Drosophila melanogaster: one gene and its partner. The protein of the gene in region 2 interacts with the protein of the main gene of each other region in a pairwise test. Each region holds a gene or a part of one and is shown on either strand. Other genes may lie near its edges.

Region 1 (3,755 bases), on a different chromosome or scaffold from region 2:
AATGTTCCACTTATCAGGCACAGTTGTTGCTTGTTGGGCCGCAGGATTTGGCACAGGAAGTCGAGGGGAGTTTGTGTCAGCCGCGTTGATAGCGATAAATAGTATGCCAAACTGAATAGCAACGGATACAGACGGAGGTGTATCACTAGACCGTGAGCCAAGCCCGCTCCGAATATAAGCCAGTAACTCCTGGTGACATTGTGCTCAGATTTTAACAGCAGGTATATAGTTAGTATCACGAAGAAGCTTGAGAAGCAATCGCCGCTTCCACGTGTGGATATTACAGCCGTCAGCGGGTTGTATAACCAAAAGCAAGCAGAGGCGCGGGCCAAGTTCTCTGGATGACTTCGCTCATCCAGGGCATCCAGCGATTGGTCCGAGTCCCGTGGCCTGTTGAACTTGCTAAGCAGGTGTTGTACGGTCTTCTGGTACTGACTCTTGATTTCCATGTGCACCAGACGGTAAATAAGTGTGGCGATGAGAAGATCGAATGTCGCATACAGTAGTTTACCCCACGCCGGATGAAGCAGGATGTTAAAAGTCTGCAGATATGCCATGATTGGGCTATATCGGTAAGTATGCCTGGCGAAGGGTGTGTCCCCAGCCAGAACTTGACGGGCTCCATCAGTCACCACCTTGTAGTCTATATCGGTGTAGGGCACGGCGGACTGACTGTCGTGTAATTGTCCGTAGCAAATTAAAGCTATTCGCAGCAGGGCGGATATTAGTAGATGGGTCCGAAAGCTAGTGTAAAGGATGCGGCGACCCAGTCGCTGCCATCCAGTGGTCGCAGCCTTTGTTTGAGTCATCGTGTTTATTGTTTACGTTTGTCTAAAGCTTGGTCTTCATTTCCAAAGCGGTCTTGCGGATACAGCTTAGGAACTCCTTGAACTCGGTGTCGCAGATTTTGTGCTGCACGTTTAGATCACGCGACACGCAAACCGCATACGCAGTGGCTTTGTCCGCGCACTTGCTTAGCAGAACTGGATAGTTGCGGATTCTTTGGTTGGCTTTGCGCACCGATTCCATGCCTTAGCTTAGCGCTTGTGAGGCGGAACTTTGTTCTCCGGCGGTGGTAGGGGATCGGCGATAAAGCAGTCAAACAGGGGCTTGGAGAAGAAGATCAGAAGTGAGCCTGTGATGAAGGAGATCTGGAACAGGCGTGGATTTCGCTGAATCCACGTGCGTTTGGGTAGCACAGCGGTTCGCCTGCGCTGATTTGCTTGCTGTTGCTCCTTTTGGTCCAGCAAGTCTTGAATTTCCTTCGGAGGCCTATACTGCGGTATGGACATTATTTGTTCCTGCAAAACGAGTTGATAATAGTGTATATGGAATAGAGAAGTTGGCTACAACTCACGACTTGCCGGTTGCGTTCTTTTCCTTGGATGCGTCTGGTAGATAAGTCTTCTCCAAATCGATTCCACTGCAGCAAAGCGATTCCTTGTGCCACTTTAAACAGCACTGGCGCATTGCCTCAAGGACATCCAAGCACTTGTCCTCCTGGTAGTGATTCTCTGTAACCGAGTGCAAGTCAGCTTACATAACCATGAAAATGGAGTCACCGGCGGTGCTTACTGGTCAGACAGGCTTGTATGCGGCAGGCGTTCGGTTTGCAGGGATCCTTGCGAGTGTCAGACATGTAATCCTGCCCAGAATTCTTACGATATTAAATCGCTCTTGCAATATGTGAAAAGTACTTGGAAGTGTTCTGCACTCTTCTTCTTCTTGGCGGTTGTAGTCATTCACAGTGCACGATCAAGGTAGCCAGACTGCGCGACGGTCAGCTGTGTAGGAAACCTAATACATCAAAGCAAAATAAAAAACAATCACATAAATAACAACAAAAAGAAATAACATCTCTTATAATGTACAAAAATTTTTAATCTTTCAAATTTTGATATTAATACCTTTTGCTTCCCTGTGAATACCCCGCCTGCTGCGAGAGCAACTGCCATTCACCCATCGACGCCGACAGTTGGGCACCAAGGAACTGTTCTTGTGTGAAAAACACACACACATTTGTTTTATTTCACTAGGACTCTTGACGATTACTTCACAAATCGGAAAATGCCATCGAAAAAGAAAAAATACAACGCACGCTTTCCGGCGGTAAGTTGAAACCACCGATTGGCGACAGGAAAGCTCCAGCCATTTGGCGGCCGTGAACGCCGAAGATGGGTTATCAGTTTTCGTGCATGTGTACATACATATGTACATACACGCCTCGCATAATCAGAGGCTCAAAAGAAGTAGAGGAGAAACCAAACCGGTGCGAGATTATAATGTTTCCAAACCATTACCATAAACTCCTTGCAGGGTCGCATCAAGAAGATCATGCAAAGCGACGAGGAAATCGGGAAGGTGGCCCAGGCGGTGCCTGTTATCATCTCACGCACGCTGGAGCTCTTCGTGGAGTCGCTGCTGACCAAGACGCTGCGCATCACGAATGCGCGCAACGCCAAGACGCTATCGCCATCGCACATGAGGCAGTGTATCGTATCCGAGAAACGCTTTGACTTCCTCAAGGAGCTGGTCCGCAACATACCCGACATCAGTGTGGCCGAGGAGGCCGCCTACAACGAGGACGATGTGTTACGCAGCTCGCCAGAGGAACAGTATCCAGATTCAGACACGCCATATGATCTTAGCCTGCCATCGACGTCAATGCGCTCGCAGGCGAACGGCACAGCTGCCTACATGCGCTCCATGAGTCTGAACAACGGAGCCGGATCGGGCGGAGGAGCCGCAGCCACCAAGCGGCAGTTTCAGTCGCAGCACTCCACCCAGGAAACTCCCACCACCAGCACCACCCTGCCCGCCAAGCTGGCCCGCTCCGGGTCCATGCCGGCCTACACGCCACGGGGCAGACCGCCCAATCACCTCAAGAAACAGTCGGTGCAGCTCGATACTGCCATACCCGCCCCGATCTGCAACTACGAACTCAACAAGCCCATTGTCAAGATCGACTACAGCCACGTGCAAATGCCGACGGCGAACCTGTGCACACCGGACGCCTCTGATTCTGGGTCAGGATCGGGCGCCGGATCTGGAGCTTTTAACTTCGACATAGCTGCTCCGGTGATCAATATCGATCTGACGAATATCGTGGCCGGTGGAGCACCTGGCAGTGGTGTGCCCCCCGCCTCTATTGGATTACCAGCGGCCACGCCGGGGGACAACAATAATGTGAACCAAATGGCTGGAAAGAGCAGCGCTCCCATCATTCCAAAGGCCACAGCGGCATCAGCGACCCCCACTGAAACCGTTTTCGAATTAGACGAAGACTATGACAATATTTGATTAGGATCTATGTGAATGCGCTTTTAAATTATTGATACATTAATATGTACTCTAGGTCTAAGAAATCACAATAACATTTTTTGCAAAATAAAGACCATGCTGGATTTTAAGCTGACGCAATGCGGAGTACTTTAAATAGAGAAAGAAAATTTATACATTCTAGCAGATAATGCTGTTTAATTTGCATACGATATTAAATCAGTTTATCTTTGAATTAGATGTACTAAACAAGTTCAACAATTATTGAAAATGTTTGCATTCATAGACACCATAAAAAAGCCGCCTCTGGGCGGCCGAAAGTCATTTATGCCCATCCCAGAGGCCAAGTTAGTTGACGATGTCGTCAGCTACATCGCCAAGCCAGAGTTCTATTCGACTGTTCCAGCGGCATTGAAGATGCAACGCCTTTTCTATGTGCAATACAGCGAACTGGCTGCCAAGTTGGAGACTGACCT
Region 2 (3,755 bases):
TTTAAGCACGTTTGATCAGCAAAATTTCACAAGCAAAGTCAACAAATTTCAATAGAAGCGTTGTAAAAAGCAATGTAAAGCCAAAAATAACGGAAAAATCGAGTTCGTTCTAAGAAAAAGAACAAAACAAAGTAGGAAAACAAAATGTGTAAAGAGTTTCTTGACAGTCTCAAAAGTGTGTAAACTTGGAATTTGTTGTTTATTTTCTTGTATATTTAATATTTTTAATTTGTTTTTTGATTTATAAGTAAAATAAATATTGTTTAATTATATTTTATAAAAAAATTGCGTTTAATTAAGCAAAAAACCCTTTATTTTTAGCTTTAAAGTCAAAAATTCAACTTATTTCACAGTGTGTAAACAGTTTCTTGACAAACTGTATGTGTCGCAAAGAATTCCGGGGAAAAACACGTTTCTTCTCAGTTTATACCCTACGTGCGAGGCATATGATTTGTCCTATCAGCCTGTTGGAACCGCTAACTCATATATTCCTTAATCTAACCAAAAACAAATTTTGCGTCGTATTTGTGAATAATGCACCGATTGATTTGATTGATTGCTTTAAGAGCGGCAGAGAGCAAAGATTACAGATAATAGGATAATGACTATTATAGTCAGAACACAATATTCTGTAAGAATCATGCAACTTATAGTTAGATCTAAATGGGCTTAAGATTATGGGTCTTGGAACAGAGAAGTTTAGCCGACTAACCAAGTCGGGACTATCAAAATATAAGTCTCAAAGCCTCACTCACTAATATACCCTACGTTCTCTTCTTTCAGAGGACGAATCCTATGAACTGTCCTCGGAAATCTGGGCCGTCGACATGGAGATCACTGACAGCGAGACCGACGACGTGCCCGTCAGCAGGAGCGTTAGCGTCAGCGCGAACGTCAGCGGGAACGTCAGCGGGAACGTCAGCGGGAAAGTCAGCGGGAACGCTAGAGGAGCCTTCAGCGGGACCCTCAGCCAGACCGTCAGCGCTACCGTCAGCGGGACCGTCAGCGCGACCGTCATTGGATTGGTCATCAACGAGTTCGTTCCAATGCCATTCAGTGGGACTCTCAGCGGGATCCTCAGCGGAACCCTCAGCGGGACCGTCGAAGGGACCATCAGCCGGACCGTCGACGGGGCCGTCAGCACGACCGGCAGCGGAACCATCGAAGGGACCGTCAGCGGAACCGTCAAGGGGACCGTCCGTGGGGCTATCAACGGGACCATCAGCGGAACCATCAGTGGGACCGCCAGCGGTACCGTCAGAAGGACCGCTGACGGAAAGCTCATTTTTGAGACAGGTGCAAGGTTGAACAATCGAAAATTCATTATCCACGAAATCTGTGGAATGAATTGTGAAATAACTCTTTGAAATTACAAAGTTTTTGAGATACATAACACGCTCTGTGAACAACCATGACTATGAGGTACCCGTTACTCAGCTAGTCGGATTGCGAATAAAATGAGAAAAAATTAAAATTGTTTAAAGATGTGGGTGTGATTACAATCCAAAAGGTGCAAGGTGCAAGGTGAACAATAAAACTAAGAACAATCTAATGTGGGCGTTGGAGTGGTCATGGAAACATGGGTCAACAATCTTGGGCTGCGTCTATGTCTCTGGAATCTGCACGCTTAATCTAAACATTCTAGCTTAAATAGTTCCTGAGATCTCGACGTTCAAACGTACAGACAGGCGGACATCGCCAGATCGACTCGGCTACTGATCCTGATCAAGAATATATATACTTTATATGGTCTGCCTGTTACATACTTTTCAACGAATCTAATAAACCCTTTTACTCTACGAGTAACGGGTATAACTATGTCATTATCTCAAAAACTGTGGATAATTCTTTTAAATAAAATGAAATAAAATGCTGCAGCCCTGGAAAAAAACCTATTCCTATTTACCCACTTATTGTAATGCATTTCTTTGTGGGTATTTTTCGCTGAGGCCAGCCATGGTCACTCTGCTGTAGACAAGTGCATAAACATTTCATCCAGGTGAACAAAAAGTAAATAAAGAACAATTTTAACCGCACTGCAACCCAACGGCGAGCATTAATAAGAAACTTCTCCACGATGGCTTCATTTTTCAACGTTGGCGCCTTGGGAAATGTTTTCTCCACTCCAGTTGGCCAGCGCATAGGTGAGTAAACCACCCTCCCCCCTCCAGCGTAAAAAAAACACCCACCGGAAGCGGGGGTGTGTGTATATGTGGTTAAAGCGTAATATTTTCCACAAATACAACGCATATGCGTTGATATTTACGCATTTACATTGATAGTTATCTGATTAGAGGACGCTTCAAGGCAGTCCCAATCAGACTGGGCCATTGGAAAATTGAATTTTCACAACTTTCTTCGTGCGTTTGCTTGTTTTCTTGTTTTGTTGTTGGTCTCTCACACACACGCGCACATTTCCATGTAGCGATACTCATTTGTTGTTGCCAGACCATTACTATGGCAAAGCGGTCTGATTTGATTTGAAAGGCGGTGGCAACAACGGTGGGCCTCTGATAAGATTAACCCTTATATGAGTATGCGGTTCCAACAGGCAGGTGTGACAAATCAGATAAATGTTTGTTGGTATGCTTTATGAAATTGCTCACCTTTTGGCACGCACACAAAGAGTATTGTTATTGATGCGCTCTTTTATTGTTTGATTGCCTGTTTTCCCTTCACCCCCTCCTGGCGGCCACCTGTTTTGCGCCCTTAGTAATCGCAATTAGTCATCGTTGCCGCTGGCCGCTGGGTTACATAAAAAAATGTGTTAATTTATTTCGTGTTCCCCTTTGGCTCGCATTTTCGCCATAATTTCCATTTGCCGCTGCACACACAACAAACACAGATACACACATTTACGTGCAATCGTGCATATGTATTAGTGCCGTACTAATTTGTTGCTTCGCTTTTTTTATGAGCTCACATTTTGTTATTGTATTGCGGTTGGTTAGCTTTTCCCATATCTCCTATATCTGTTGGATATCAGTGTTACGATATCTGATATCTGAGAAATACACTTTGCGCAATGGTTTCGTTTTGGATTTAAACAAATTGCTTTGTGCATTTTTAATTCGAGCAAGTCATTGCACTTGGTAGATCCTAAATTATAAACGAAAGATAATGCTCGCCCACCTGTTAAAAAACACAGTTTCAGCCGCCCATAAAAACAAACAAAGGAATGCAAATTGTTTACTTGGGTTTTCACACAGAAAACGAAAAAAATAATTACATCTTTCGGATCAAAAACCGCACAATTTACTTGGAATTATAATTAAATATATTATTATAATTAAAATGTAACGAGCGTTTTCAGAAATAAGATACAAATTTAAAAAAAAAAAATAGGGATACCTTTTTTGTTTTTGTATTTATATTACATGAAATATTGTTGCAGTTTTTTTTTCTGGAAGAACGATAGATTTAAAAAGATCTTAAGGTGTCAACTAATACTTACCTTCTCACCTTTCAGAGGCCGCCACCGATGCCAACCTGGCCTCGGAGAACTGGGCCGCCAACATGGAGATCTGCGACATGATCAACGAATCCTCCGACACTGCACGCGATGCTATGCGTGCCATTCGCAAACGCCTCTCCCAGAACGCCGGCAAAAACAACCAGGTGGTGATGTACACGCTGACCGTCCTGGAGACATGCGTGAAGAACTGCGGCAAGGCCTTCCATGTCCTGGTGGCCCAGAAGGACTTCATCAACGAGCTGGTCAAGCTGATTGGGCCCAAGAACGATCCACCAGCCGC

Evidence for each region. The genes of interacting proteins can lie anywhere in the genome.
Region 1: the proteins of CG3529 (region 2) and NC2alpha interact in a two-hybrid assay, tested with the Drosophila melanogaster proteins (one large-scale study listed by BioGRID).

The regions. Positions count from the first base shown.
Region 1 is NT_033778.4:21,668,180-21,671,934, forward strand, and holds NC2alpha (negative cofactor 2alpha), read left to right. Parts: upstream 1-1,972; 5' UTR 1,973-2,067; coding exon 2,068-2,109; intron 2,110-2,316; coding exon 2,317-3,300; 3' UTR 3,301-3,414; downstream 3,415-3,755. Other genes in the region: PIG-M (phosphatidylinositol glycan anchor biosynthesis class M), read right to left, coding at 1-809; CG42380 (uncharacterized protein), read right to left, coding at 832-1,029; CG42379 (uncharacterized protein), read right to left, coding at 1,038-1,292; CG42381 (uncharacterized protein), read right to left, coding at 1,292-1,301, 1,358-1,514, 1,576-1,639; CG15676 (uncharacterized protein), read left to right, coding at 3,550-3,755.
Region 2 is NT_037436.4:9,444,919-9,448,673, forward strand, and holds the start of CG3529 (uncharacterized protein), read left to right. Parts: upstream 1-1,945; 5' UTR 1,946-2,077; coding exon 2,078-2,144; intron 2,145-3,469; coding exon 3,470-3,755. Other genes in the region: Srg3 (Sting-regulated gene 3), read left to right, coding at 784-1,367.